Rhinolophus ferrumequinum: one gene and its partners. The protein of the gene in region 1 binds, or shares a complex with, the protein of each later gene. Links are inferred from orthologs where the notes say so. Each region holds a gene or a part of one and is shown on either strand. Other genes may lie near its edges.

Evidence for each region.
Region 2: the proteins of AGT (region 1) and ANPEP are in contact, whole or in part, in a crystal structure (PDB 4FYS), measured with the Homo sapiens proteins. The link is inferred for Rhinolophus ferrumequinum from reciprocal best matches to the Homo sapiens genes AGT and ANPEP. Residues at the interface, in NP_001369746.2 of Homo sapiens: Val27, Tyr28, Ile29, His30, Pro31, Phe32; in NP_001141.2 of Homo sapiens: Gln211, Gln213, Ala351, Gly352, Ala353, Met354, Glu355, Arg381, Val385, His388, Glu389, His392, Glu411, Glu418, Asn438, Arg442, Phe472, Tyr477, Ile864, Phe896, Ser897, Asn900, Gln903, Ala904, Arg907.
Region 3: the proteins of AGT (region 1) and DPP3 are in contact, whole or in part, in a crystal structure (PDB 5E2Q), measured with the Homo sapiens proteins. The link is inferred for Rhinolophus ferrumequinum from reciprocal best matches to the Homo sapiens genes AGT and DPP3. Residues at the interface, in NP_001369746.2 of Homo sapiens: Asp25, Arg26, Val27, Tyr28, Ile29, His30, Pro31, Phe32; in NP_005691.2 of Homo sapiens: Phe109, Glu316, Tyr318, Glu329, Phe381, Gly385, Ile386, Pro387, Ala388, Gly389, Ile390, Asn391, Ile392, Asn394, Arg399, Val412, Leu413, Val415, Ala416, Phe443, Val447, His450, His455, Glu507, Glu508, Asn545, Arg548, Leu552, Glu555, Phe556.
Region 4: the proteins of AGT (region 1) and REN are in contact, whole or in part, in a crystal structure (PDB 6I3F), measured with the Homo sapiens proteins. The link is inferred for Rhinolophus ferrumequinum from reciprocal best matches to the Homo sapiens genes AGT and REN. Residues at the interface, in NP_001369746.2 of Homo sapiens: Asp25, Tyr28, Ile29, His30, Pro31, Phe32, His33, Leu34, Val35, Ile36, His37, Asn38, Glu39, Lys91, Leu92, Ala95, Met96, Met99, Leu100, Phe103, Arg107, Arg148, Ala151, Ile152, Gly154, Gln353, Gln354, Asn355, Asn358, Glu391; in NP_000528.1 of Homo sapiens: Tyr81, Met82, Thr84, Gln85, Val102, Asp104, Gly106, Ser107, Asn109, Ser118, Arg119, Leu120, Tyr121, Thr122, Val125, Tyr126, Leu147, Arg148, Tyr149, Ser150, Pro181, Ala182, Leu183, Pro184, Met186, Leu187, Ala188, Glu189, Phe190, Val193.

The regions. Positions count from the first base shown.
Region 1 is NC_046310.1:26,049,819-26,056,828, forward strand, and holds the start of AGT (angiotensinogen), read left to right. Parts: upstream 1-3,997; 5' UTR 3,998-4,135; intron 4,136-6,081; 5' UTR 6,082-6,110; coding exon 6,111-6,939; intron 6,940-7,010. UniProt on the Homo sapiens protein: Essential component of the renin-angiotensin system (RAS), a potent regulator of blood pressure, body fluid and electrolyte homeostasis.
Region 2 is NC_046311.1:4,305,809-4,313,087, forward strand, and holds the start of ANPEP (aminopeptidase N), read left to right. Parts: upstream 1-4,279; 5' UTR 4,280-4,347; coding exon 4,348-4,928; intron 4,929-5,448; coding exon 5,449-5,591; intron 5,592-5,703; coding exon 5,704-5,843; intron 5,844-6,242; coding exon 6,243-6,369; intron 6,370-6,451; coding exon 6,452-6,606; intron 6,607-6,832; coding exon 6,833-6,946; intron 6,947-7,055; coding exon 7,056-7,199; intron 7,200-7,279. UniProt on the Homo sapiens protein: Broad specificity aminopeptidase which plays a role in the final digestion of peptides generated from hydrolysis of proteins by gastric and pancreatic proteases.
Region 3 is NC_046294.1:5,506,195-5,513,881, reverse strand, and holds the start of DPP3 (dipeptidyl peptidase 3), read left to right. Parts: upstream 1-4,676; 5' UTR 4,677-4,801; coding exon 4,802-4,853; intron 4,854-6,045; coding exon 6,046-6,323; intron 6,324-7,687. Other genes in the region: PELI3 (E3 ubiquitin-protein ligase pellino homolog 3), read left to right, coding at 243-812. UniProt on the Homo sapiens protein: Cleaves and degrades bioactive peptides, including angiotensin, Leu-enkephalin and Met-enkephalin. Also cleaves Arg-Arg-beta-naphthylamide (in vitro).
Region 4 is NC_046305.1:26,930,511-26,937,892, forward strand, and holds the start of REN (renin), read left to right. Parts: upstream 1-4,371; coding exon 4,372-4,469; intron 4,470-7,382. UniProt on the Homo sapiens protein: Renin is a highly specific endopeptidase, whose only known function is to generate angiotensin I from angiotensinogen in the plasma, initiating a cascade of reactions that produce an elevation of blood pressure and increased sodium retention by the kidney.

The DNA of each region.
Region 1 (7,010 bases):
TTTTGGGCTATGTTATCTGTCACCAAGGTGGTTACTGCACTTCACTGCTGATGACCACAAAGGCATGTCTTACCTGTAGAAAGGTCTGAATTAGAATTCTTTTTCTGGTCATGGTAAATTTCCTGTTTGGGATTTTTATAACATAAACATAGAACAGCGCACCTTCCAACTGTGTCTTTTCTGCAACTCTGTAGACTGCAGGCAGGGTGCATTCCTAGAGTGTAATCTCTTTCAGTGTTGAACAGACCTTGTCTTCCACACTCAACAAAGCAGGGAGGACAGGCGAGGAGACCTGGTCTGAGGGAAAAGAGGGGTCTCATTATCCCAGAGAATGTCGTTTCTTCATTTGGCATGGCTGAAGACCACCCCTGGAGAACACAACGTTACTGCACTGATTTGAGGCAAAAGAGGGCACCTATCAGAACAACCTGTTAACTAACACCACAGTGATTTTGAAAGAAGAGCCACTCCTGGAGGACTGCCTGATAGCCTGTGGAGGGTGTGGGGTGACTATTCCAAGGGGCACACAGGAAGACAGATGCCAGCTGCCACCCATAGCCTCTACAGAGCAGAGAGGACGGATAGGACACAAGCAGATGAGAGCAGATGTACGAGTCCTCACATGGCTCAAGCCCAAGGATTGGCAATGGGCCTTTGGTAGCTCAGAGCTCTGAAGTCCTGTGTGTGACATGACAGTCACCCAGATAGGAGCACATCAATGCCATCCTGGCAGCCCAATCTTTTGTGGTCCTGCAATTTAATATCAGTGAAAGAAGCCCTGTGTCAGCCAGCAAAAGTGATCTGATTGGTAGACTGCCTTCCTAGAAAGAGGATGCTCCATAGGCAAGAGTCTTGGAGCTATTCAGACATCTGGTCAACCCGTGGTAGAATGTGGAGGATGAGTAGAAGGCAGGGGCGGTGCACTGAAGGGAAGAAACAGGAACCAGGGACCACATGGCTCATGGTCCTGCCACCCCAGCAGTACCAGGCCCCAGAGAACTTAGAAAATTGGGAGGAAGATGCTCTGGAACATGTCTTGTGTGACCTAAGGGTGGTACTGTAGGAAGGCTCCTTCCAGTTCTGTGGTCCCATGAGTTTAAGGGACCACATGTGGTCTTCATGCCTTAGTTTACCCACTCTCAAAATGGCTGGGCTATTTTGAGATAATATAGTCAAACCTAGTTACAAACATATTTGAGGTCCAGGGTCCCTCCCATAAACTTCACGAATTCAGTAAAAATGAGCGCAGCCGTATGGTTTGTCTAGATGGCAGGTGCCCTCCTGCCCCTTGATGTTACCGTTTTTGTGGAGCCTTTGCAGTCCTTCGAGGGCTGGGCTAAGACTCATTGTCAGAAATTAAACTTCAATTCCACATCAACAAGCACAACCTAAGTTTTATTTGTAACGCTCAAACCCATTGCCTGAGAAGCGGCTGCCAAGTGGGCGTAAGGAGAGGTCCTGCCTCAGCCAAGACCTTCCCCTGAGCTGGACACATCTTCTTCTCAGTGCCAGGAAATCTGCAGGGCCGGAAGAGTGCTCAGGTTCTCTCTGGACAGCTGAATGGCCCTGTCAGAGAGAGGAAGCTGAAGGAAGCCCCCGCCCTGCAGGACAGAGATCTGCCTGGTGGAGAGTGGCGTCCCTGTGGACTGTTAAAGGTGGGTGGGGTCCCCACCAAGACTGCTCCAGGGGCCACCCCCACTCGTCCTCAAGGTCCGGCTCTGCCTGCTCCTGTCTCCAGGCGAGTCTTCCTGACCCTTGAGGTTAGACCAAGCTTCCTGTCATAGACTCATGTCACTCACAGCTGTTTTCCTTCCTAACAATTATTCCAGCTGCCAAGATATTATCTGTGCAATAATTGCTTAATTCTGACACCTCGCAAAGCTGTAGGCTTCATGAGGGTGGGGACGGTGCCTGATTCATTTTCAGTTGTCACCTCAGAGACAAATTTCTTTCTTGGCATGTGGTAGGTTTTCAATAAATAGTTGTTGAACAAATGAATGGATATGGTAGGAAAAGAATGGGTGATGGGGTCACACAGCTCTGGATTCACCATTTTCTTTCTGGGTGACATTTAACAAATGAACCTTTGTGGTCCTTGGTTTTCTCTCCCTACACAGTGGGGATAGTAAAATTTGTGTTGCAGATGTGGTGAGAAGATATATGCACCTGGCATGTAGCAGCTGCTCAATGAGTGCTAATCCTTTCTTCCTCTGTCTTAGAGTTGAGAATCTCTTCTTTTCCTTAGCACATTTCCTAAAGCAGGACTCACAGTTCAATGTGCCCCTTCTTCCATTGGCTTCTCAAACCACCTCAGCCTGGCCCCTCCCTCATCCTTCCCTGAGGCCCCAACTCAGCCTGCACCTCCATCCACTTCCTCTGGGCCTTTGGTGACCAATAAAGGGTTGGATGATTGATCAAGAATGCTTTGGGGGGGGACATTTCCGCACCAATGACTTGAAGCCATTATGACATTCAGGCCTTAACTCCTCACTTCTCAACCTCCCCAGTCCCCACCCTGGCTTCTGGAACACCTCCTCCTGCTTCTTGCACTGGCCCTTGGACCCCCTGCTGCGACTCCTTTGCCATCGCCAATCTCCCTAGTTTTTCCTCTTATCGTCTCTCCTGTTAACTCTCCTCCAATGAAACGTCTCCACCCGCAGGCCTTGGGTTATTCCTCAAGTGTCTGCCACCCACACCTGCGTCTCCGGCCCAAATCCGCCCTCTGAGCTTCAGAACTGTCCACTCACGTATTCACCACTGGATTGCAACAGAGGCTTCAGAAGAAAACCGTCTAAAATCAAACTCTTCACGTTCCTTCCTCAAAGCCCTGTGCCTCCCATGTGCCCCTTTTGGTTATTGGTTTCACCAGCCTCAGTCGCCGGATCTTGAGAACCCTTCTCCCCCTTTCCTCCTGCTTTCGTACCACAGTGTCACCACGAGAGCAAATCTTTGAATCAGAAGACCAGCATCATGTCACCCCTGCCACCCCGTGCTCAGACCTCTCCAGTCTCTCTTCTGAGGCCCCGACATCGACCTCCACGCGTGGTGTTCAGGCTCCAGCCAGCGTCTTTCCTTCCACATCACTCACATAACTCCCCAGGTTCGAGTGGCAGTCGGGTTTCATCTTGCACGTCAACTCTGATTCATGCAGTTTGGCCAAAGCTCTGTCCAGGGGACCCAGTGGGAAAGGCTGAGTCCCGTCATCATCCATGGGGCTAGGCCCAGGGAGCAGTGGCAATCTGGTTGCTCTCACTGCCCACCCTTCCAGCATCAGGGCCTGCTGGGGTCCCCCAACCAGCCCCACGCTTTCCCACCTCTTTGTTCCTCTCATATAAGCCACTACCTCTAAAAGCCTTTCTTCAGCTTCTAAGTCCAACTTAGTTTTCCTTCAAGGTTTGACTGAAAGGACATTTCTCCCCAAAACCTTCCCCAGCTTTAATGGAGTGTGGCTTCTCACGGTCTGAAAGCGTTTTGTTGGCACCTTTCCACTGGCTATACTAATGGAACTGTCAGAATGGGGCAGAATGTCATCTAACCGTCAACCAGCTAAATCACAAGTCTCTAGAAGGTGCGTTTGCTGGGTTGTTGTTTCTCCCTGCGGCTCTCAGGGGCCTCACATCGCTGTTTGGACAACTGCTAAGCCTCTCAAGGCCATAGGGTCACAGGTGTCCCAGGCCACCTGGGCATGCACATTCTCGGGGTCTCTCTGACAGACACCCCAAGGGGACTCGGTCAGAGGCTGGGTGGCTGGCCTCAGCCATCACACATCTGGACAGAGACACATCGCACTCCCACGTGGGACGCTCCTACATCCGGTAAACGCAGGCCCAGCTTGGGGGGACTCAGTAAATGTGTAACTCAGCCATGTACCAGCTCGTTCTGTTCAACAGCAAAGTGTGCGTCGATCATCCTGACCTCCTGGCAGTAGTCCCAGCGTGACAGTCCCTCTGGCGTCCGTCCCCCAGTCAGCCCTGGCCGCCTGAGGCCCCACCCCCATTGGTGATATAACCCCCTCTCCAGCTTGGGCACAGGACAGTCTGGGAACGGCTCCATCCCCACCCCTCAGATATAAATAGGGCCTCAGTGGCCCAGCCAGAGGAAGAGGCCACCCTTCTCGTGGGGACTGAAGCAGAAGGTAAGCGGGGAGCCCCTCCCCACACCACCCTTCCCTGCCCCTGCCCCCTCCTGTCTCTCTCTAGGCAGCTGAGTTGTCTGCTGGGCTTAGAAAGCCGGGGTGCTCTGTGGGAAGGGGGGGAAGGGCTGCTGGAAGGCGGTGGCTAAAGGGCACCCAGGAGCCAGAAGTCAGGGGACAGTGGTGACCTGTGCCACAGGGGACCTTACTACTGAAGCCTCAGAAGATGCCGCTCGCCTCCCATCGGGCCAGACGTCTAGCCCTGGGCTGTCTTCCATTTGGCCCCCCGGGTCCTTCCAGGGGACCTGCTCGTCCTCAGCAGCAGGCAGCGTGGCTGGGTCCTCCCGCTCCCTCTGAGTAGGGCTGGGTCCTCCCGGAAGCAGGGTCTTGGTGGCCAAGAGCCCACCGAGTCCTTCTTCAGTCAGAAGGGGCTGCGAGGCTGGCTGTGCAGGTAGTGGGGCTGGGGGAGGGGCAGGCTCTGGGTCCCCCAGGACGCAGGTGAGGGGTGGCCCACATTTCCGTGGGCGCAAGGCTTGGGTCTGTGCAGTCAAGGTCATCACTGTCTCCCTGAGCCTCAATTTGCTCATCCATAAGATGGGACAAATAACCATGCCTGGCCTCCCTTGCTCATGGCCTGTGGTGTAAATTAAGAGAGCCAATACAACGTGAAAATGCTTTCTAAAATTTCAGATAAACGAAAAATGTACATTCTTATTATTTTATTCAAGAGGAAATTTAAATCAGTGCTTAAGTGGGCGGGCAGCAGCTTCGGGGGTCTTTGTTTAAATCCTAGCTCTGTCTCTTACTAGCTGCGTGACCTTGAGCAAGTCACTGAACCTCTCTGTTCCTTTGTACAACAACACTGACAAATTCATTTAACAACTACTTATCAAGTAGCTAGTAGGTCCCAGGCATTTTTTGGAGAACAAAACAGAGCTAAAAGCCTGCTTTCATAAGGTTTGCTTTCACATAGGCGGAGATAGGAAATGAACACGATAATAAACAGACAAATGAAATGAATACACGATCCGGAGTGTTCCGAGGTGATCCAGGGCTATGGGAAAAGTCGAGTAGGGCAGGATAAAAGGGCTCAGAGTGCCAGGCGTCGGGGGACAGTTGCAGTGTGGAACATGGTGTCAGGGATGCCTCAGCAGGAAGGGTTGTTGTGAAGATTAGGTGAGCTGATACGTGACAAGCCTGGAATCGTGCCTGGCAATAAGCATCGTGTGTTAGCTGCCACCCTCACCATTTTCTTTACGCCACCGAGCCACAAGGAGGAGGGACCCCGAGAATGAGGGGCTGGTGAGAGGGAGCCCAAGGAGGGGTGAGGCAGGCGCGGGCAGCAAACCCACCCTTCTGGGAGCGCTCACCGCCCTGCACTGCCAGCTTATTCTCAGGCCCCGCTGTGTGCTGACTGAGAGCCAGCCGGGCGGCAGCTGACCACAACTGAGAGCAAACAGCAGCCCTGCCTTGAAAACGATCCATGAGATTGCTTCACCTGACTGCCTGTGCCCTGCGGTGGGGCTGAGTGGAGCGGGGCTTGTTTACCTGCACGGCCCACACCTGGGCCGGTGGGCACCTGTTCCTGCAGGCTCCCCAGCTCTCAGGCCCACAGCTTTCCCCTGATGACTCTGCCCTGACTGGACCTTTTACATGAGGCCTGTGTAGACAGAAAGGCACATTCCCACTATTATAAACGTTATACAAAACAAAAAATCAAAACCCAGCCCAAAATAAAACCTTACAAAAGCACGCCTCAGCCCATAACCGTGTGCTTTGCACATGGGTCATATAAACGTGTTCTGTGGAGTGGGAGTCCATTTTTTTTCACTGAAATGTGTAGACGTGGATGGATTTCTCCTGGGCTACATGGTTGCAGGGAGTCGTAGAACCACTGAAACTGGCGAGAGAGCACTTAATCACCTTTCACCCTTCATAAAACATTCCAGGTGCGAGGAAGCGAGCTCCCCCATCAGAGATGACTCTTGCCAGCGTGAGCCTGAGGGCCGCCGTCCTTTGTCTCCTGGCCTGCGCTGGCCTGGCTGCTGGAGACCGGGTGTACATACACCCCTTCCACATGCTCGTCTACAGCAAGAGCAGCTGTGACCAGCTGGAGAAGCCCACGGCAGAGACGCCCAAGGACCCGACCTTCACACCTGCCCCGATTCAGGCCAAGACGTCCCCAGTGGACGAGGAGGCCCTGTGGAGACAGCTGGTGCTGGCCGCCCAGAAGCTCGACGGTGAAGACAGGACGAGGGCTGCCGTGCTGGGGATGCTGGTCAACTTCATGGGTTTCCGCATGTACAAGACGCTGAGCGAGACGTGGAGCGCAGCCACAGGCGCCGTGCTCTCCCCACCGGCTCTCTTTGGCACCCTGGCCTCCTTCTACCTAGGAGCCTTGGACCCCACGGCCAACGGACTGCAGGCGTTCCTGGGCGTGCCCGGGGAGGATCAGAGCTGCACCTCCCGGCTGGATGGTCACAAGGTCCTCTCTACCCTGCAGACCATCCAGGGCCTGCTGGTGGCCCAGGGCGGAGCGAGCCGCCAGCCCAAACTGCTCCTGTCCACGGTGGTGGGCCTGTTCACTGCCCCCGGCCTGCGCCTGAAGCAGTCGTTTGTGCAGGGCCTGGCTCCCTTCGCCCCCGTCACCCTCCCGCGCTCTCTAGACTTGTCCACGGACCCAGATCTCGCTGTGGAGAAGATCACCAGGTTCATGCAGGCTGTGACGGGGTGGGAAATGAACAGCCCCCCGACGGGGGTCAGCCCAGACAGCACCCTGCTCTTCCACACCTACGTCCACTTCCAAGGTAAGGCCAGCCCTCCGGGGGGGCTCTGCCCCCAGGCCAGTGCCAAAGGGCAGCAGTTCTCTGTGTCCAGA
Region 2 (7,279 bases), on another chromosome or scaffold:
CTGAGATGAAGCTGCGTTTTCCAGGTCAGTTGATGTCTTTTACATGTGTGGCTCTGTCCTAAATATTCTCTCACATGATCGTTGTCAACCTTCATTTATTTATTTGTTTTTTTTAACGAGAGGAACTTTTGTTCTCTGGATCAAAACATAGGCATGTATTTATAAATAGATAAACCCATGGAAAGGCTGCTTTGGTTGAGATGGGGCTGGAGGTGCTTGGTTTTTCTGCGGTCAAGAGACGAACAGTCAAAGGAACACAAACATTTTGTTCACCGGCAGAAAGGTCCCACCCCAAAGAGAGCCTGCAGGTGACTCCATCCCCAGAATCACGCCAGATGCAGCAGTGATTCCCAAAGTGGGTGCATCTCTACAAGATGATTTTAGGGGCTATCCAGATGAATAGTTTTGAAATCAGTAGTCATGAATTGAAACGTGTGTCGGAAAAAATATGACATAACACATCCAACCATGATTGATTGCGTAGTCATGATTCCTCAGAAGGAGAGTAAGGAGTGAATTGATGTAAAGAAAAATATTAAGTAAATCACGTATAGGAGGCTCACAGAGGTGGTTTGTGGATGCAGTCTAGGACCCCAAGAAGGAGAGTGGGGGGATAGAGGGGAAACCTGACCTCAGTGAGATTCCAGGGGCTTAATGACAGAGTTCCATCTTTAACCACTGTCTCTCATTTCCGTGATGCGTCCATTCCACAAGCTGTGTTACCCGCTGGCTGTGCACTAGGTGCTTGTCTGGGGAGGAGGGCACGGTGCTCATGATGCTCAGTCTCCGGGGTGCTGGGGGCAGGGCTGTCCTGGGATGGCATCCCCGAAGTGAACCTCCGGGAAGAGTGGGTGGTAGGTGACGGAAAGCCAGAAGTGTACCAGGCCCAAAGAGCAGCTTGTGTGGGGCCACTGATGGGGGCAGAGCCTGGTGGGCTTGAGGAATCACGAGAGGCCAGGGAGGCAGAGGAGAAAGTGCAGTAGGGCAGACGACAGGAGATGAGACCAGAGAATCACAGGGAGGCTGGATCACGCCGCACCTATAAGCCATGGCGAGGATTGTAGATGTTGTCATTCATTCAACCATCGTTTATTGGGCTCCTGACCTGTACTAGTGTACAAAGTCACAGAGCCTTCCCTTGGGATGCCGAGGTCCAGTGGCAGGCTTTGAACATGTAGATGGCCTTTTCATAAGTGCTGTGACAGAGGCATGAACCAGAGGCCAGGGACGCACAGAAGGGCTGCCTGTACAGAAGGGCAGTGACATATGAGCTGGGTTTTGAAGGATGAGTAGGAGTTTGACAGGAGGGAGAGGAAAGACATTCCTGGTGGCCGAAACAGGATGAGCAAAGGCACGGAGATATGAAAAAACCCAGAGGGTGTGAGGAAATGCCAGCAGTTGGAGCCACAGGGGGCTTTGGAAATAGAGGCCAGAGGGTCAGGCTCACAGAAGGTCTTGAGGCTCAAGCCAGAATTGAGGTTTTATTCCACGGGCAGTGAGGAGCCAGAGACCAGGCTTGAGCAGGAGAGGAAGATCCCTCTGCCAAAGTGTGTGGCAGGGTTGGGTGACAGGGCAGGACAGCACTGCCACCACTTCCTGGTGGGGTGTGGAGGTGGCCAACGCTGGGCTACAGCAGGGGGCGGAAGGAAGGGGCCCTATTCTGTGTTACAGAGGTGGGGGCTGTGGAGCATACCCCTCTCTGCGCCCCCAGCATGGGCTGGCCTGGTGTCCAGAGCAGGGACCTATTACAGGGCAAATGGGCCCTTTCCAAAAGAGTAAGATTCCAGCCAGCTGGGCCTGTGGTCCATGTCCAAAGCAAACAGGAAGAGACCACTGTGGGCCAGGCGGGGCCTCTTTCTTTGTTTGGAAAAGGGATTAGGCCAAGTGGATTTGTGGGTCTTTCTGCTGCAAAGGTGGGAGGGGGCTGCAGGCCTCCTCCGGGACATGGTGAAACACAATTCAGGGGGATGCATGGGTCCTGGGTGCCAGCCTTCAGGGGTACTATAAAGATGGCCTCCCTTGGCAAATTCTAACCCTGATGGACGGAACTGGGAGCACATGCTACATTACCATTGTGTGTCACTGTTCTTTCTTTCACCATGTCCAAGTTGCAGCCCTGCTCTGGGCACTTGGCTTCCTGCTAGTGTCCCTTGGCCATCAGTCCAGGCCTGGCAGGGGTGGCTGCTGGCCACTGAAGTGGACAGTCCACACTGCCCAGACCACAGCACCAGGGGCAGGTCTCCAGAGGGAGAGAAGGAAATGCTGGGGGCTCAGAGTACATTCCATCTGAAAGATGGGCACCCAGGATTCCCATGAAGACCCAGCACTCAGCCCCTGGCCTCTGCTGGCCAGGTGACAGTTGGCAGTCCTTCCCTCTTGCAGTTATGCCTGAATGAATTCATCGCTGGGTGCATTCCATTTTTTTATGCAGGCTCGGGGGTGGCAGGCCCAAGCCAGGCAGGGAGTGGCAGATGAATGAGGTCCTCAAGGAGCTGATGAGGTGGCGGAGCAGACTGATGCAAGTCTTGAGATGCATTTGGCCTCCACAAGGGTCCTACCTGTGTGCCCCGGATGGAGGAAGGCTGAGAGAAGACGGCAAGAGTAAGGGCAGGGACAGAACTGGAGATGGCCTAGAAAGACTCCCATAAGGCGAGACTCCTGAATTGACGCATTCATTCATTGGCCCATTCATGCATGTGTGCGTTCCCTCAACAAGTAGGTATTGAGCACCTACTACGTGCCAGGCATGTGTCGAGTGCTGGCGAGCAGAAGCAGCCAAGGCACTGCTCTCACGGGGCCTCCAGTCCATGAGTGAGACGGGCAGGACTTAAGGCATCAACCACACAGATGAGATGGGGAACTTGCTGAGTTACAGGGCTTCAAAAAAGAGGTTTGCGGCGCTAATGGAGCTCACAGGGGCTTGACCTGGGCCGGGACGTCACGCATCTTCTCTGAGAAAGACTTGCGGGGTGAATAGGAATTAACCAAGACAAGAAGGGAGAGAAGATGGCCCAGGCAGAGGGAACAGCACGTGCAAAGGTCCTGTGGTGAAGGGGCTGGATGAACACCAGAGAGGTTGGAGAACCAAAACAGAGGGGAGCGTGGTGAGAATGAGGCTGGACCGTGGGCAGGCTGATAGCACCCGAACTGGTCAGTCCCTTTAGAATATTTGCTGTGGTTCCAAGACAAAGAGGAAGGTTTTCAGCAGTAGTAGAAAATCATGATCCAATTTATGGGGTGAACAGGTTTGAGGGGGCCTGAGTGCAAGTGGGGAGTCCACGAGGGTACAGCGGTGTCCACAGAAACAATGAGAATGGCTTTGACCAAGGACATGGTGAGATCGGGGTGTGGGGGGATTGGATGTGGGGGTCAGGGCCAGGTCTGAAAAACTGGGCTGGTGGATGGAAAGGTAATAACGAACATTGCTTTACACGAAGAACGTATTTTATTGAGTACGATAAGGAATATCTTCATTTTTACCAAGTATAGGAAAAGAGGCAGTCGATGAACTCGGAGTATGAAGCGGGGGTGATTTTTAGGTTCTACTGTTTGGCGTTTAATATGTTTTCTCATTAAATCTGTCCAACAAACCTCAGCGGTGAACACTATTCTTGTTTAAGAGGAAAGAGATCTCAGGAAGATAAAGCTACCTGCCCAAGGTCACGGCTGGGAAAAGGTTAAGCCTCCACCAGGCTCCTCTCTTGAAAAGGCAAAACAACTTATTGTTTTCTACTCAGTGAGCTGATAATTGAGGAAAACCATTTATTGGCAGGAAGGGCAAGGGAGGGACACCTGGGAGCCCGGTCTGCTCTGGAGGAATGCAGGGGAGGCTGGGAGCGCGTCACTGAGGAACCCAGGCATCTTTCCAGCATCCGACCACAGGGGAGACCCAGTGTGTTCTTGACCCAGAAACTGACCCTCCCTTCTCTGCGTCTCCCACCTCTTGCTGTAGGAAGTCCTTCCCTGACTCTAACCCCGATCCTCCTGCTTCTGCCCCACTGCCTCAATGTGCACACAGCTCAGTGCCACCTGCCCGCTACCCTACCCTCTGGGCCCAGGCTGCCCCCTACCCTTCCGCCCTTGGTTGGGCAGGCTCCAGGGCAGCCTGCAGCCTATAACCAGACACTGTTTGCTCCCGGCAGGTGCACTATTCCTGGATCTCTTCTCCGGAGCCTGGGCAAAGCACACCCCTGCCCAGTCCAGTGACCTCCGGCTGTCTGAGGCCGGGTTAATTTTTGCCTAGTCTGCGGGCTGTGGGCTCCTCCCCTCCGGGATATAAGCCTGGCCCCAGGCGGCCCTGTTCCCTGCCTGCCCTGAGCCTCCCCCAGCTCCCTCTCCACCCTCACCATGGCCAAGCCCCACGTCGTCCTGGGCATACTGCTGGGCCTGGCAGCCGTGAGCACCATTATTGCTCTGTCGGTGCTGTACTCGCAGGAGAAGAACAAGAACGCCGAGAGCTCTCCTGGTGTGGTCCCCACCAGCCCCGCCACTACCGTGAGCACCACCTTGGACCAGAGCAAGCCGTGGAACCGGTACCGCCTCCCCCGGACCCTGGTGCCTGAGTCTTACAACGTAAAGCTGCAGCCTTTCCTCACCCCCGACAACAATGGCCTGTACATCTTCAAGGGCTGGAGCACCGTCCGCTTTACCTGCAAGGAGCCCACCAATCTCATCATCATCCATAGCAAGAAGCTCAACTACACCACCCCCAACGGGCACAGGGTGACCCTGCGGGGTGTGGGGGGCTCCCAGCCCCCCACCATCGACAGGACCGAGCTGGTAGAGCTCACCGAGTACCTGGTGGTGCATCTTAACGGCGAGCTGCAGGCGGGCAGCATGTACGAGATGGACAGTGAGTTTGTGGGCGAGTTGGCCGATGACCTGGCAGGCTTCTACCGCAGCGAGTACATGGATGGCAATGTCAAAAAGTAAGTGGGACCTGCGTCTGCCCGGTGGGGGCACGTCCTCAGTGCTGAGGAAGAGCTAAGGCCGAGGACGGCCTTGGCTTTGATGCCTTGGAAACTTCTGGAGCCTTTGGCTGGCTCATTGCTCCAAACACAGCTCTGGTGGAGCAACTACTGAGACCACAAAGCCTTTCCCTGAGGGCCTCCTTACCCCACATTAGGGAGTCAGGGATAAGTGATGAAAGTGCCCTTTGGATAGCTAGGAAAACTGAGGCTCCGAGGAGAGAAATTGCCCTCAGTCTCCTAGGTAACAGGGATGGAGCCTGCCAGGACTTTGACCCTGAGTCCATAAGGTTATGCCAGAGTCTGCTGGCCTGTTGGGAACCAGAGGCTGCCTGTGGGAGATGGGGAGGCCAGGGATTAAGCCAGAGCATCCTTCCGTGTACCCCTTCCCCTGCACCCCCAGCAGCCCCCCAAAGTCCTCTTCCTCCCCCCACGGGTGCAGGCATTGTGCCGGCACCCCTCTAACACCTGGTTTGGGCAGGGTGCTGGCCACGACGCAGATGCAGTCTGCAGATGCCCGGAAATCCTTCCCATGCTTCGACGAACCGGCCATGAAGGCGACATTTAACATCACTCTCATCTACCCCCGTAACCTCACAGCCCTGTCCAACATGCTGCCCAAAGGTGAGCGGGTCTGTCCGGGGGCCACACAGCCCTGGGAAGCCAGCACCCAAGGGCTGGGGTGCAGGGTTGGAGAAAGGGTGCATGCCTGCATGCCTGAGTGCTCCATTCCCAGGCCCCAGTGTCCCGTTCCTGAATGACTCCACCTGGAGCGTCACCGAGTTCCACACCACGCCTGTCATGTCCACGTACCTGCTGGCCTACATCGTTAGTGAGTTCACAAGTGTGGAGCAGAAGGCGCCTAATGACGTGTTGGTACGAAGCTGCACCTCCTTGCCCTTCCCCAGCCTTGGCCGGGCCGGAGGGATAGTCCTGTGTCTTCTCATCCCTGTCCTAGCCACTGATTGTGGCCAGTGTTTGAATCCCAGTTCTGAGTCCTCTTAGCTGAGTTCTCTGACCCTCAGTCTCTGCATCTGAAAAATGGGTCTGTCCTCATGAAGGGAGTTCCCGACTCAGGGCTGCCAGACAGATGGTGGCTCTGACTGCTGTTTTTCCCCAGAGGCTCCTACCTGGGACTGAAAGCCCCTCAGAGGCCCCCAGCCCTCTCTTCTGTGACCAGACCTCCCAGTTTGACCTCGTCCAGGCCTGGAGACTCCGCCCACCTGCACCAGGACCCCAGAGGGGGCCCCTGGTTGACCTCCATCCTTTTCGTAGATACGGATCTGGGCTCGACCTAGTGCAACCGCGGCAGGTCACGGCATGTATGCCCTGAACAAGACAGGCCCCATCCTCAGCTTCTTCGCTCAACATTATAACACAGCCTACCCACTTGAGAAATCCGGTGAGTGTAGGGCCCGCCGTGGGGGGCAGCAGAGGGGGCCCCGCACCCAGAGGCCATCCTGCCCACTGCCTGGCTTCCCCAGACCAGATCGGCTTGCCCGACTTCAACGCTGGCGCCATGGAGAACTGGGGGTTGGTGACGTACCGGGAGAACTCCCTGCTGTTTGACCCGCAGTCCTCGTCCAGCAGCAACAAGGAGCGCGTGGTCACCGTTATTGCTCACGAGCTGGCGCACCAGGTACCCCCCATAGGGAGTGCAGAGAAGGACACGGGAGGCTGAGAGGTGATGGCACAGGTCCCGTCTCTGCCCTCGGCAGCGGGCAAGGTAGCAGGGGCAGTCACAATGGCAGAGAAGCGCTGAGCCTAGGTCTGGCATGTTTGCACACTCGGGAAGGGTCCCTCTGGGTGCTTTTAGTGACTGCAAGGCCAGAGTAGCTGGCCGGGCTAACCCCCCTCCCCTACAGTGGTTTGGGAACCTGGTGACCGTGGCCTGGTGGAATGACTTGTGGCTGAATGAGGGCTTTGCCTCCTACGTGGAGTACCTGGGTGCTGACTATGCAGAACCCACCTGGAACCTGGTGAGCCAGCTGTGCAGGGGCCCTGGGATCTGCAGGCCGGGCAGGGGCGGGGGAAGCCGTGGGTGCCCCCTTGCAGGCCAGTCTACTGACGGCTGCCGGGGATTCGCAGAAAGACCTCATAGTGCAGAACGAGCTGTACCGCGTGATGGCCGTGGACGCGCTGGCCTCCTCCCACCCGCTGTCCGCCCCGGCCTCGGAGGTCAACACGCCAGCCCAGATCAGCGAGATGTTCGACTCCATCTCGTACAGCAAGGTGCTGCCATCTCAGTGGGGGTCGTGGGGAGGGAGGGGGGGACCTGGCCCCCAGGGGCCCCATGGAGCCCCTGTCCCGGC
Region 3 (7,687 bases), on another chromosome or scaffold:
GTAAGAGACCCTGTGTGCCTGGGAGCACCTGCCTGCTCTCTCTCATGGCTTCTTGGTCCTCCTGCCTCCCTCCACTGCCCTGGTCCTTTCCCTTCCTCTGCCCCAGCCACTCCCCCCTCTCCCCAGCCCATCCTGGTGGTCCAGAGTGCCCTCTCCAGGGTGGTTCAGTGGGATAGATGACTGCCTGGTGGCAGGGTTTTGGGGACCTCTTGGGCAGTAAGGCCCTTCTGCTCCCCTGGCAGGTGGAAAACGAGTCCAACGTGCTGCAGGATGGCTCCCTCATCGACCTATGTGGGGCCACGCTGCTGTGGCGCACACCGGCGGGGCTGCTGCGGGCACCCACGCTGAAGCAGCTGGAGGCCCAGCGGCAGGAGGCGAACGCGGCGCGGCCCCAGTGCCCTGTGGGCCTCAGCACCCTGGCTTTCCCCAGTCCGGCCCGTGGCCGCACGGCACCAGACAAGCAGCAGCCCTGGGTCTATGTTCGTTGCGGCCACGTCCATGGCTACCACGGTTGGGGCTGCCGGCGAGAGCGGGGTCCCCAGGAGCGAGAGTGTCCTCTCTGCCGCCTCGTGGGGCCCTATGTGCCCTTGTGGCTCGGTCAGGAGGCCGGCCTCTGCCTGGACCCCGGGCCGCCCAGCCACGCCTTTGCACCCTGCGGCCATGTCTGCTCCGAGAAGACTGCCCGCTACTGGGCCCAGACACCACTGCCCCATGGCACCCACGCTTTCCATGCCGCCTGCCCCTTTTGTGGGGCCTGGCTCACCGGTGAGCATGGCTGCGTCCGCCTCATTTTCCAGGGGCCACTGGACTAAGCTGCCTGGGGACCCCTGCTGCTGCGCCCGCCTGCCCACCTAGGTCCCCCACTTCCTGCAGCCCAGAGGGAGCTCTGCATGTGGGACTCTACCTGCTGGCACAAAGCTACACCAGATGGACGTGTTGGATGGGCTGTGCCCCTCCCCTTTTAACTCTGGTCCCCAAGGGGGTCCCCAAGATCCTTACCCAAGTCAAAATGATGGAGCTCTGTCCTGGGCTGACGGAGGGAAGCCCACCCCCATGCCCTGGCCCTTCTTGGGGCATTTCACATCATGCCGCCTACACTGTGCCCCTGGGGGAGTGAAAGGGCCGTAGGCCCCTGACCCCCAGCTTAGGCCGGCTGTACCCTGAGCCTGCCAACCCAGTTCTAGACATTCACCCTGCTGCTGCCCTGGGTTCCTCTATAAACCTTGCTACTCAGCTGCCCTCACCAATCCCATGTGTCCCGCATGTGTGCAATGCCTCCAGCCCTAGTGAATGACAGGTGGGTGGAAGACTGCGACCGGCATCTGCTGATACCCACTATGGGCTGGAGTCCACGCCAAGGGGGCTCTGGGGACACCGAGACAATCAGATCTGGTTCCCTGCCTGGTAGAGTCCACAGTTTAGTGGATGACAGACCAAATTACTGAATGACAGCACAGCTTCCTACGTGCCAGGGTCAGAATTAGAGGCTATGGAGCAGGCCTTCCTGGTGGGTGGAAACATGAGGGAGGCTTCACCGAGGAGGTGGCGTAGGAGCTCAGCTAAATGGCTACATTGGAACCCCCCACAGGAAGGGGAGGATGCAATAGGCAGAAGGGAGCAGTGGAGCACAGGCTCTGAGGTAAGTAAGCGGGAACTGAGTGAGGGATTCAGAGTGGCCGGAGCAGGGGCTGCAGGGGAACAGGAAGGAGGCTGGAGCCAGAGGTTGGGGCTGTGCTGATGGGGAAGATGCTGGATAGAGGATTCAGAACCTCATTTTGGACAGTGAGGACCCAAGGGAGGGAAGAGGACTCACAGTTCCAGAGCGTTGGCTGTGACACGAGGATCACCATTCCCGAATGCCCACCATGTGCCCTGCACTGTGCTAATGGTAATAATAACTACATTCATTGAGCACCCACCAGGCACCAGGCTCTGCTTCTCGGAGGTTTGGTTATTTAATCCTCACAGGAAACCAGGGAGGGACGTGTTACCATTTCTGTTTATGGGGAGATTAAGGCACATGCTGCAAGCCACACAGCTAGACAGTGACCGAGCCAGATTCACAGCTATGGCTGCCTGCCTGGCCTTGAAGACGGCCCTCTTCTCCATCACACTGTGCTGCTTTCCTTGAATGAAAGGGAGGAGTTGGGAGGGCAGTCTAGATAAGGGGAACAGTGTGGGCAAAGGTGTGGCAGGAAAAATGCTTGATGACCAAAGAGCCAAGTGTGGAGATGTTGGGCTGGGGCCTGGCGGGCGTTGGTTGCCATGGAGGCCAAGTCTGAATTGAATCCCTATTCATCTTGGCTAAGTGTCTCCTCTGAGAGTCAAGGTGAGCTCGGGGTGCTGCTCAGGTTGCCCTCAAGCCATTTCTAGGGGGAGTGGGCTAGGAAGAAAGGTCGAGGTTCTGGAGACATCAAAATCTGAAGAGACTCTGAATACAAGCCTGACCTGGGCAACACCCTCAGTGGAAGACAGCTGCCTTAGGGAGTACGATTCCTAGGGGAGGGGCCTGCCCCGGGCCACACAACTGGTTGGGGCCCAGAGACCAGACCTGGGGCTGTTGAGAGGGCACCTGTCAGTAGTGAGAGGAGGATGTAATCAGATTCTTGCTTCCAGAGCACAGCCTTACACTGCCACAGTGGGGGAGCCGAGCTGGGGGTCCTGGGGAGGGTGTGGGAGCATGGCAACTCCTACACACATGTACACACACTCACAGAGCACCAGCAATCCAACTCTGCCCAGTGGTTCTCTCTTCTGACCTGGTTGGGAACCAGACGGGAACATTCCACCCCATTTCTAGGAGGGAACCTCAGACTCTACAAGAGAGATGAGAAGGCATAGGCACCACCCCGGGGAGAACTTAGATGGTTGTGGAGGGAGTCAGACTGCCCTGGTCTTGGCCCAGCTTTGTCCCTTTCCGGCTCCTGGAGCCTCAGTGTCCTCAGCTGTTAAATGGAATAATAGTCCTGTCACCAGGTGGTTGTGAATTATGGAGGACACCTGTAACACAGTAGGTACTTAATATTATTTCCTCACCTACTTCTTCATTCCCATGGGGAACAGCCAAAGCCATGACTGTAGTGAGTGGACTGCTCCATGTGATACCATGTATGTGTGTGTGTGTTGGGGCAGGTGGAGGGAACAGTGTGGTGGAAAGTCTGAGGAAGGCTAGACCCTAGTTCAAGGACACCTGAGGACATGCTGGGTGGCGTTATGGAAGTCGATGAACTTATTAGCCTCAATTTCCCCATCTGTACAATGGGTAGAATGATGATATCCTATCTCAGGGTTTTTGCAAGAATAAAATGAGAGCCTACATGTCAAGCTACTAGCACAGGACCACAGTAAGGCTCAGATTAGCTGTAATCAGAAAAATGCAGCCTGGATGGGGCTCCCAGGAGTACTGGGATCTTGCTGGCCTGAGCTGCCCACTGGTGGCCGTGGACAGCACTGCCTCCTTTACTGGTGTCCATTTCAACTTCACCCAAGTCAGGGAAGACTTTATACCCAATTTAAAGACAATGAAAGTTGAGGCACAGGGAAGAGGGGTGACTTTCCTAAGGAATCATCATCAGAGCTAATAGTAGCACTGTTGAGCCAAGTGGGGCTTGGGAACCTTTGTGAATGAGAAACACGCTCATGGTGGGCAGATGCTGCTCTGGGTCTAGATGCAGGTGTGGCAAAGGCTGGCAAGGAGGGTGTGTGGATTTCAGGTATCCCTTTATCCCCGCACCCCTCTCTGTACAACACTAGGGGGCAGCACTGCCCAGTCAACACTTCTTTCGAGCCTACAACATCCCTGGGAGTGGAGACAATTATTAGTCCCGTTTTTCTGCTCAGAAAGCCAAGACTCAGGTAATGTGACCCATCCAAGGACACACAGCCAGTAGGACGTGGAGGCCTGATTCGACTTTAGATGGCCTGACTCCGCCCCCCACTCTGACTTGGGACTCTCACAATGCTCCCCACTTGGCCTGGCTGGGCGCCGTGCCCCACCCAGGATGTCCTTCTGGGAGACCATCCAAACATTCAAGGGTGGACCTCCGGCCCGTTTCTGCCCTGCGCAGCCTTTCTGGATGGCAGGCGTCTTTCTCATCCAGTAGGCACCCGATAAGCACTAAGAAACTGCCAGGCCCCTCGCCTCTTTGTGCTGAAAAACACTGAGTCTCAGAGATGTTCAGCGGCTGCCGCCAAGTCCGGCTTCCTTTCCTCCCCACCCCCCTCCCTCCCCCGCAGCCCATGGTGATTTGGTGGTGGTGCAGGCACGGGTGGAACCATCAGCCCCGGCAGGAGTCCGCTCGCCTGTAACCTCGATTCCCAGCACAGATCGCTTTGCAGTCTCCAAAGAGTCTCCACTTCCTGGCTCTTGAATCCAGTGAGGAAGTGGGAGACACATCATTCCCATTGCGCGGGTTCCCACCTGCAAAACTGAAGTCGGGCGACTGGGAAAACCCCCAAAGGAGAGTCGTGGGTGTGTATGTGGAGGGAAATTGTGGTACTCTGTCCATGACACCCATGCCACCCCTCCCGGACTCAGGGGACCTTGTCAGCCCTGTCTGCCGGGACTAGGCCGCGGCCAGGCCGGCCACGCAGGTTCCCGCCCCCGGGCGACCGCTGCCAGTGGACAAAAGGCCAAGGCTGTAGGGGCCATACCGCATGCGAACCAGTAGCGCCTGAAGGCGGGGAGCGGGAGGACCGGCGGAGCTCGCTTCGGAGCGCCTATTGGCTGGAACCGACGCCCATTCGGGCCCCGAGGCCGGACAATTGGCCGGTGGGGGCGGAGTTAGAGGAGCCCCAATGAATGGGGGAGCCGGAAGCAGGAAGTGAGTTTGCGATCGGAGCAGTTGCTGCAGGTGAGGCACGGCGCTCGGGTTTCAGGGTCACAGTATGTCCTCCTCGGGGACAGGGCGAGTCTGGACCGAGCGCAAGAGCATTCCCTTTCTGCCCCCCATCTAGTACCCCTTCTAAAGTCATCGCGGCCCCGAGGTTGAGGAATGCTTTGCGGGCAGCAAAGGGTTAACACCCCTTTCAGAACCCGGGGATTATGCTGTTGGGGCGGAGCCTCGGGAGTGGCGGGGGGATACTGGAAACACATTCCCAGTAAGGGGGGACGCTGTGGAGAATGCCCTGGGTTGGGAGACCCGTAGTACCCACCGGGACCGTGAGACCTTCGTTAAGTTGCTTGGTCTCACTAAGCCTCAGCCTTCCTATCTGTAAAGTGAGTTTTCTTCCACCTCTGAACTTCTGTGGCTCTGTAGCTCCCCTGGCCCGAGCACAGGGAGAGGGTCGGAGGATGAGGACAGACACAAAGGCAGTTATAGGGATAAGAGTGGGACAGATCCGGGAACAGTAAGAGGAAAAGAGCAGGAGGAAAATCATTTACTGCTGTAGATACATTCCATCCGGTGTGACCTCATCTAATTTGCACACCCACACCCACATGGTGAGGTTGGGATTATCACCCCCATTTTACAGAGGCAAAAACTGAGGTGCAGAAAAGGGAAACAACTTGATTTTATAATAGGAGTCTGGGGCTGAGTGAGGATTGGAACCTGGATCTTGCTGCTGGTAGCCTGGGAATCTATCCTTGTGACCACCCACTGTGGTGCGTGGAATTGAAGAACCTGCAGGAGAATTTTGAAGGGGAGGCTAGTAGGTCAGAGAAAGAGGTGGGGAGCCAGAGCGGGACCTGGGCTGGGAGTCTGGAGATGCAGGTCTCTACTTCTGACCCTTCCCTTGTGTTATTAGGCAAAGCTCCTAGCCTTACTGGGCTTCAGTTTCCCAATCCGTAAGACTAGTTAGTTGGATTCCATCTTTTAGGTTGAGGGGCCACAGGCCAAATATGGCCCACCAATGTATTTTGTCATCTCCTTGGGTGAGTCACCTGATCTCTGAGCCTCAGTTAGCATATCTGGTTAATGGGTACAATGGTACTCCCTTCCTCATGGGCTTTTGGGAGGATTACATGAGATCACGAGAGTGCAGAGCCAGGTGTGCGGTTGGTTTGGGGTAAATGATGGCCATGATGATGGTGATGGTTCTCAGCAGGGCCCATGGCGGACACCCAGTACATCCTGCCCAATGACATCGGCGTGTCTAGCCTGGACTGCCGCGAGGCCTTTCGCCTGCTGTCACCCACAGAGCGCCTCTATGCCCACCACCTATCACGGGCTGCCTGGTATGGAGGCCTGGCTGTGCTGTTGCAGACCTCCCCTGAGGCCCCCTACATCTATGCCCTGCTCAGCCGCCTCTTCCATGCCCAGGACCCTGACCAGCTGCGCCAGCATGCCCTGGCTGAAGGCCTTACCGAGGAGGAGTATCAGGTCAGTTCTCTCAGGCCAACGTGCATTTCTTGAGTGGTTTCTGGGTGTGAGGAACCAGGAAGCTGGGTTACAAAGTTCTTTCTCTCTCATTGGATTAAACCAAAAATTACAAATACTGGAACCTCCCCTCCCGGAGCTTCAGTCTTCTTATCTGCAAAATACGCATGAGGGTAATCTCTACCTCTTAGGGTTGTGGTGACCCGACTCCAAGATAAATGGTGGCTGCCGTGATTATAACGAGGGCTTTGAGTAAAGGAAACAGCTGTGGAGATTCAGAGACGGTAGAGGAATGAGGCCAGAGTAGGAATCAGGAGGTCTATTTTCTGAACCACGTCTTCCTTTACCATGTTTTGTGTCCCTGGGCAGAATATTCCGTCCCCTGGTTATTGTTTGTTTGTGGATCTGTTGGCCAAGTAATACAGGAGTGCATTCATAATGCATTACAACAATGCAGAAGGACATAAAACAATAGGTGGAGATCATTTCATTCTTATGCCCTTCTCAGAGGTAACCACTAAGGATGGCGGGCAGACAGCCTTTTCAGCCCTCTGTATTCTATACCTCCACATGTGCACGTGCATGTGTCGGTTCCTTATTTTCTCTTTTGCATAAATGCAATCACACTCTCCATGTTCCTATGAGTCCTTTTTCAGTCCTGCTTTTTCCACTGAACGCCATGTCTTGGAGAACCTCTTTGGGGTACATATTAGTTCACCTCATTTTTATTGGCTGTGAAGTGTTCCCACACAGTGTACGCTAAAATTAATCTTTTCTTTATTGCTGGACATTTAATTGTTCCCAGTTCTTTTTAAATTCTTTAAAAATTTCTTTTTCCTTTTTTTGTTTGTTTTGGTTTTTATTATTTTTTTCTTTTGTTCCTGGTTCTTACAAACAGCACCACAATGAGCATACTTGTGCACATGTGTGAGTAGGATCTATTTCTAGAAGGACAATTGTTGGGTCAAAGGCTCTGTACATTTACACTTAATTAGTGTTGTTAAATCTTCTGAAAAAGCTTCACCAAGAATGTATGAGAATATGGCCTATTTTTCTATATGTAAAATAAAGGGATTGGATTGCTTATCTCTAAGCTGAGGCCCAGGCTGTTTCTTCTACCTTGTTTGAACTTTGTGTATTCACATCCCATCTCTGGGCCTTGATTTCCTCTTTAAAAATGCTAAAAGCTGAGGAAGTGCTTATAAATGGAAAAGTGCTACGTAAGTATTACTATTTTCAGAAGGATTCTTTTGTTTGTCGGTAACAGAAACCCACCTCAAATTGGCATAATGTAAAAAACTCATAACTTCCAGTGTCTGGTCCGGCATGTAAGGAAAGAGCTTAGAAGTTGCCAGTCTGTCCAAACA
Region 4 (7,382 bases), on another chromosome or scaffold:
GGGGAGGGAAGGGAGAGAGAGGGTGGGTGGTCACTCACCCTTACTGGCCATGATAGGTCCCAATCTCGTGAGGGCTGTTGGTGGGCAAGGAGACAACATCACTCTTAAGCCACTCTCCTGTGATTCCTGACCTACTGTCCATCAGCAGAGGGCCTCAAGGTAGAGGGAAGTGACGTTCTGGGGCAGGTACCCACCGCCTCAGCAGCTGGGCTCACATACAACACAGGATACAGGATATAACATGGGAGATGCAAGTGTCCACTCTGCCACTTACCAGCTATAAATTAAGACATGTTACTTATCCACCTTGGTCTTGATTTCCTCCTGTGTTGCAAGGATACTGGCCCACTCACCTCCTAGGGCTGACGTGGACATTGGGAGAAGACCCTACTCCATTTAGGCCCTCGCTTTTTGCCTTGGACCTTCTCCCTGCTCCCACTAACTTGCCACTGTCATTCCTGGACTTGCACGCAGGTCCTGCCCTGTCATGTGTTAAAGACCATGACTTCTTGCTTATGGCCTTCCTCCACCTCATGCCTTCCCCAATTCTCCTGGACGACATCACCATCCACATAGATGGTGACCCGGCCAGCACCCTGGCTCCTCAGTTCCCTGAGTGCCATCTTTCTGGTGACTTCACCCCTACTCTGCTTCAGCCACCACCCCACATCCTACTCTGGATTTTTCATCACTTATAATTGTTCCACTTCCCAAGAGGCTATCTCAAATGTCCCACTCTCGATGAGCTCTCTGCACTCCACTTTATGCTTCCACTATTCCCACCACCACTGCTCTTTCTTCTCACCCATCCATGGTCCTCCGCTTCCTTCAAGCTCACCCATCCTGTCCTGTCTTGACTTCTCTCCCACAGTCCATCATTCAATAACATTATTGCTAGAACACTAAGTCCCTCATCTTTGATCCACATCTGGCATCACCCCAGCCCTGTATGACACCAGCCACACAGTTTCCCTGCATCTTTCCCTGCTGAGTTTCCCAAGCAGCCAAACACTGTGGTGGTGGTGGTAGGAGAGCCCGAGAACAGGGTGAAATGACTGCCTGTAAAGTCATGATCTCCAGCCACTAAATGTCTTAATTCTTCCCAGAAATCCTCTTAGTATCCCTGGTCAGCTTCTTTCCACCTTCCACTTTCCATAATTATTTTAAACCTTCTCAATTTTCCTCATGCCTCCAAAACCCCTCCCACCCCAATTCTCAGCAGAAGTCCTTGCTTCCTACTTGTCCAAGAAGATAAGTCACCAGACAGAAAGTCCTTTGGATACAATACCAAGCAGATAAACTATACATACCACACGTGTCCTTCCCACGTTCCCCACTCCTGTTCCAGTGTGTACCACCCATGTGCCTCTGCCCTCTTAGGAATCCTACTGCATTGTTTATCCCTTCCTTTCAACAGAGTACTTTGTATGCCTCTCAGTATAGTAAGCTCCCTCCCATCATCAGAAATAGAGGGAGGGATAGAGGGAGAGGGAGAGAGAAAGAGAGAGAGAGAGAGAGAGAGAGAGAGAGAGAGAGAGAGAGAATGAGAGAGAGAGAGAGAGAGAGAGAGAGAGAGAGAGAGAGAGAATGAGAGAGAGAGAGAGAGAGAGAGAGAGAGAGAGAGAGAGAGAGAGGATGGGGAAAGGAGAAGAGAAGTAATGGGAAGAGAAAAGAAAGGAGGAAAGAAAGGAGGGGAGGAAGAAAGGAAGAAGAGAAAAACCCTCATTCCCCTCCAGCTTTCACCCTCTTCACCCTTTGTTATAGCCCACCTTCTCAAAATAGCTGCTGTACTATACTACCTTCATCTCCCTACTTCCCATTGTTCTTCGACCTATTCCTCTCTGAAGTCCCGTCCCTCTGCATTACCCAAACAGTTCTGCTAAGAGTACCTATGGATGCATGTCTACATTTTAACTGCATCTTACCTGCCCTGGTGGGTAAGACCACCACGGCTCACCATCCCTCCTTACCACTCTCCTCCTTTGATTCAGGAACACCTATGGGTTTCCTCTTGCCTTCTGACCTCTCCTCTTCGGTGTCCTCTTCAGATTCTTCCTCCACTACTGGTCCATTAAAGTTTGAAGTCTTGGGCCTTCTTGCTCTCTACCCTCTTCCCTGGATACTTTCATTCACACCTGTGGCATCAATTACCACTTGCAAATAACACATAAATCTTTCACCCAGGTCCATATGTGCACCTGTCATTTAATGTCATCCCTGAGACATCTCAAAAAAACCCTACACTCAACAGGTCCCCACTCATCCATCTTCCCTTTAGGAATCCTGGTTCTCTTACACTGTACCCCATGTTTTACCAGGCATCCAGAAACCTCCCTCTCCCTCACTCCTCATATCCAACTCATTACCCAATCCTGCAGACTGTATTTCCTAAATTTCTCTCAACCCCATCCAATCTTCTCTATCTCCACCATGCCCACCTCCCCTGGTCCAAGCTAGCTCTAGTTCCATGTCTTCTTAACTGGTATAAGTCACATGATTCTGGACCATTCCCAAGTCCTTGCTAGCTCACACTGTAGCCAGAGTGTCTTTGCAAACATATATAATTACATCATCATTCCCTCCTTAACCTGTTTACCCACTGTTCTTAGAGTAAACATAGCATGGAGTTCAAGAACTCGTATGGTTTGGCACTCAAGTCAGCTATGTAACGAGTTCTGGGTCATACTGCCTAAATTCATAGCCTGTCTTCATCACTTATTGTCAGTGTGACCCTGGGCAAGTTACTTTCTGAATCCTCCTGTATCTCAGTTTCCTCACCTGTAAAATGGAGTAATGATGGTACTACCTCATACGGTTGTTGTGAGAGTTAAATGCACTTAGAATGGTGCCTGACATACGAGTATATAACTAAGCATTCAACAAATGTTAGATCTTCTCATCCTTTGCCTCCCCAGTCCCATCTCTCACCCCACTCCTTCTCATCTCTGTTTTGCCACATTGGCTTTTCTTTAGGCCCTTATTGTCACCTTGTTCCCTCTCTCCTCAGGACTTTGGCACGTGCTATTCCCACTGGAACTCTTTTCTCTCCCTCTTCAGTTATTCATTGCCTGCCTGTGCAGCCTTCAGATAGATCTTCTGCAGAAACCTCCCCAAGACCCTGAAGGCTGCCCTTCCCTCCCAACAACACTAGGTCAAGAGAGGATGGGGACAGCCCCTGACCCTAGGCCCCGGCTCACTGAGGGCGAGGTACGAGGTGTGACAATTAAGTTCATGAACTTGTTGCAACAATGTTGCTAACCTTTTTTGATATCAGAGGGATTATTCATTATGAATTTGTACCAACTGGACAAACAGTTAACCAAGTTTACTATTTGGAAGGGCTGAAAAGGCTGCATGAAAATGTTAGACGACCTGAACATTTTGCCAACAATTCATGGCTCTTGCGTTAAGACAACACACCAGCTCACACGGCACTGTCTGTGAGGGAGTTTTTAGCCAGTAAACAAATAACGGTATTGGAACACCCTCCCTACTCACCTGATCTGGCCCCCAATGACTTCTTTCTTTACCTGAAGATGCAGGAAATACTGAAAGGAACACATGTTGATGGCATTCGGGACACCGAGAATAATATGACAACAGCTCTGATGGCCATTCCAGAAAAAGAGTTCCAAAATTGCTTTGAAGGGTGGACTAGGCACTGGCGTTGGTGCATAGCTTCCCAAGGAGAGTATGTCAAAGGTGATTAGTGATATTCAGCAATGAGGTAGGTAGCACTTTTTCTAGGATGAGTTTGCAAACTTAATTGTCGGAACTTGTGCACTTTCCCATAAATGGCTGCCACTGACAGAGGCCTGGAAGGTGGCAGCATTGAGGCCCCAGGTCTCGCTTTATTAGGGGACAAACCAGGAGGAGTCACCCATGTTCCAGATGGGAACACTGAGATGCATTCTGGGAGAAGCCAGTTGGGGCCACAGCCAAGGTTAATATAGAGGATAGCACCTCAAGGGCATGGGAGTGAAGGCTGTCTGGGAGTTGGAAACCCAGTTGCTATGCCTGTCTCAGCCCTGACCTTGCTCCTGAGCAGTGCTATTTCTCATCAGCCTCTGTTCCCTCTGGGAGTCACAGGGCCAGGCCGAGATGGGGCTGCTGGCGTCACGGGGCAGAGAATTGCATTCCCGCAGCCCTCCTTCCTCTAGTTCCTTGGGTCCATACGGAAACCTGGTCACCCTTCACCCACCTAGCTTGGTCTTATTACTGGTTGCCTTGCCATCTGACTCAAGGTAATAAATCTCTGCCCCAGGGAGAGCACAACTACCACCATTCTGAGTGTGGAGTGTATAAAAGCAGAAAGGTTCTGGGAGCCATAAGGCTTCGGTGGATCCCAGAGAGCCGGGACCCAGGAGAAGCATGGATGGATGGAGCAGAATGCCTCGCTGGGGACTCCTGCTGGTGCTCTGGGGCTCCTGCATCTTCAGTAGCCCCGCCGACACTGGCGCCTTCAGACGGTAACTCTAACTCGGGCAAAGGAAAGCGGCAGGGGTGCAGGGCTTCCCACTTTCCTAACACTCCTGACTCTCAGATATGTGATGTCACCCAGTCCTCATGACCAGCTGAGCAGGGAGCTATGGTCCCATTCAGAGAGGTAAGGTGACTCCCCCAATAGTGGCACTAATCAGGCTTGAAAGCCAAGTGTTTTGACCCCTGCCTGGAGCTTTTGCGTCCTGCATAGCTTACCATGCTAGGCACTGTGGGGGAACTCAGAGGTGATTAAGATATTCTCCATGCCTTCTAGGAGCTCATCACCTAATAATTAGGAAGGATGTGGTATGGTTGAGTCTACTAGGGAAGAAACATGATATAGTACATAAACGTAAGGCTACTAGAGCTGAATTGTCTTGGTTTAAATTCTGCTCCACTAACAGAACTAACTAGCTCTGGAACCAGGGTTAAGTTACTTAACTTCTCCAGGTCTCAGTTTACCATTTTTAAAACAGGGGTAATAACAGGACCTACTTCACTAGAGCTTCTTTGAAGATTTAGTGCGATAACACTAGTAAAAGCACGGTGCCAGCATTCTGTCAAAACCCAGTTGTCATAGCACTACAGGGTGGTTAGTCACAAATGTTAAAAGAAAGGCTTAAGGCAGCCCAAAGGAGGGAGGAGAAAGACCTAACTCACATCTATATGTGGTGCCAGGCCCTGTGGGAACAAGCAATTCATTAAGGCTGCAGAGGGGAGGGCAGGGAGGGACAGGGCCTCGTGGAGAAAGGGGTTTCTGTTTAGGGGTGCAGATGGATCAGAAGACCTATAGGTCAGAAGGCAGGTTTAACTAACAGTAATAGTTGCTAAGCCTGTAAAATGCTTAAAGTTTCACAGGATCTTTTCACATATCTCATCTCAAATCATCCTTCTAACAGTCCTATTTTACAAATGACACCGAGGCTCAGGGAGGTCACATGTAGAGGCTAAGCCTCAACATACACTGGGCCTTTTGTTTCCAAAGCCTCTTCCCCTGCTCCAAGGCTCCCAGGAGAGAACTGCTGGCTTGGCAGTGTGGGGTGAGAAGCTGAGGGTATCCCAGCTGCACATGCCTGGGTGCAGCCCCACACCCAGGGTAAAGGCAGAGCAAGGTAAACCATTCTCCCTTGTTCTCTTCAAAAATAGAAGAGTGGGATGGGGCCAGGAGTGGAGAGGGAGTCAGGATTCTGAAACACAGCTATAAGGATTTTGCTACCAGCTATGGGCTGAGCGAGCGTCATGCCAGACACTTTGGGAGATATGAACACAGGACCCCATTCTCAAGGAGCCTTCACGGTCTTTTATATACACAGTTATATTTATTGAGCAGTGGACAGCTGGTTTAATCTGCACAGTGATTCTCTGAGGTAGGTACTATAATTAAGCCTGTTTTACAGAGTTCAGGGGGCCTCGGACAAGGCCCAGAGAGCTTAGGTAAGTTGCTCAGAATCACACAGGGAGTAAGGGATTCAAGCATGTCCCCACCACCATGCCCTCCCGGCCAGACATCACCACCTCTGTGAGCATTCCGCTGTGTAGTGCTGGCTGTGAGCACCCAGAGAACATGAAGCAAGAGCCTAAGCAAAGGTGAGGCCAGTGTGAACTGGAGTTCATGGGCAAGCGTCCTGGTGGTGGGGGTGCATGCTGGGCTTCGAAGGACGAAAGACTTGGGGGAGGGGAGGAAAGAAAGGGACTTTCTGAAAGGAGAATGGTAAAAGCAAAGGCCCATAGTAGAGGCTGTTCAGAGTAAATGATGGAAAATGCACTGTCTTTGGAATCTGCTTCTCCATTTTCCCATCTGTAAAACGGGAATAATAAAATTACCCCCCCCATGGGATGACTGAGAATCGAATAAGATCATAATTGCAAAAATACTTTTTGCAATAGTGAACTGTGATATGAATATGACAAGTCACTCCCATTAAAATATTACACTGACAGACATGAAATATGACTTCCATATGAAATATAAAAGTGTATTCATATTCATGGGTATAATGGGGTACATAGAATGGAGCGGTGTGAGAAGGAAAGGAGAGTACAAGTACAGGAGACCCGGCAGCTGAGAAGAAAGAGGGATTCTCCATAAATTGGACTGCAATCCTGGGACCCTCCCCACACCAACAGCTAGAGACATCTTCCTCCAGGCTTCGGTACAAAGCCTTCATGTCAGAGTACAAGAACCCTATATGGGAAATAGGGTCAGACACCCTGCTTTGAGTCCCTGATCCATCACTTCTGAGTCACCTCACCATCACTTCTGTGAACCTCCATTTCCTCATCATAAAGTGAGTACAACGCTAGTTTGCAATGCTGTCATGAGGGTTACATGGGGGCATGGCAACTCAGTATGCAGTGAGTTTCTCCAATTCCTAATTCTGCCTCCCAAAGGTGGTAGGAAGGCAGACAAGGAGCCAAGGGACTTGGGATTAGGCTCAGGAAGGCACATCTTTCCAAGGACAGGGTGCACAGGCACTCTCGGGATACTGGCCTCTCTCCCTGCCCCATCCAGGTCAGTTGGTCCACTCCACCCCACAGCCCTGGCTGGGTGCCTGCCCCAGGGAATCCCGGAGCCCCTTAGGCTGCTTTAGGCATCTGCTGCCATCTTCAGTCCTCATGTGGCACTGCCTCCTCCTGTCCAGCCAGCCTTGAGGGGGCATTCCCAGCCTTCTTCCCATTAGAGGGGTTATCATTGAGTGTTTCCTCCTCTGTCCCATCCCTGATGGAGCTCTTTGAAGCAGTGATGACCTTTATCTTTATATCTTTATATCTCTAGTCTCCAGTTTGGTGCAGGCACAGAAGAGGTGTTCAACATGTGATTATGGAATGGATGAATTAATCAACCAATGAATGAACAGATGGCCTTGCAGTGATCAAAATTAGACAACAGGAGGAAGGTA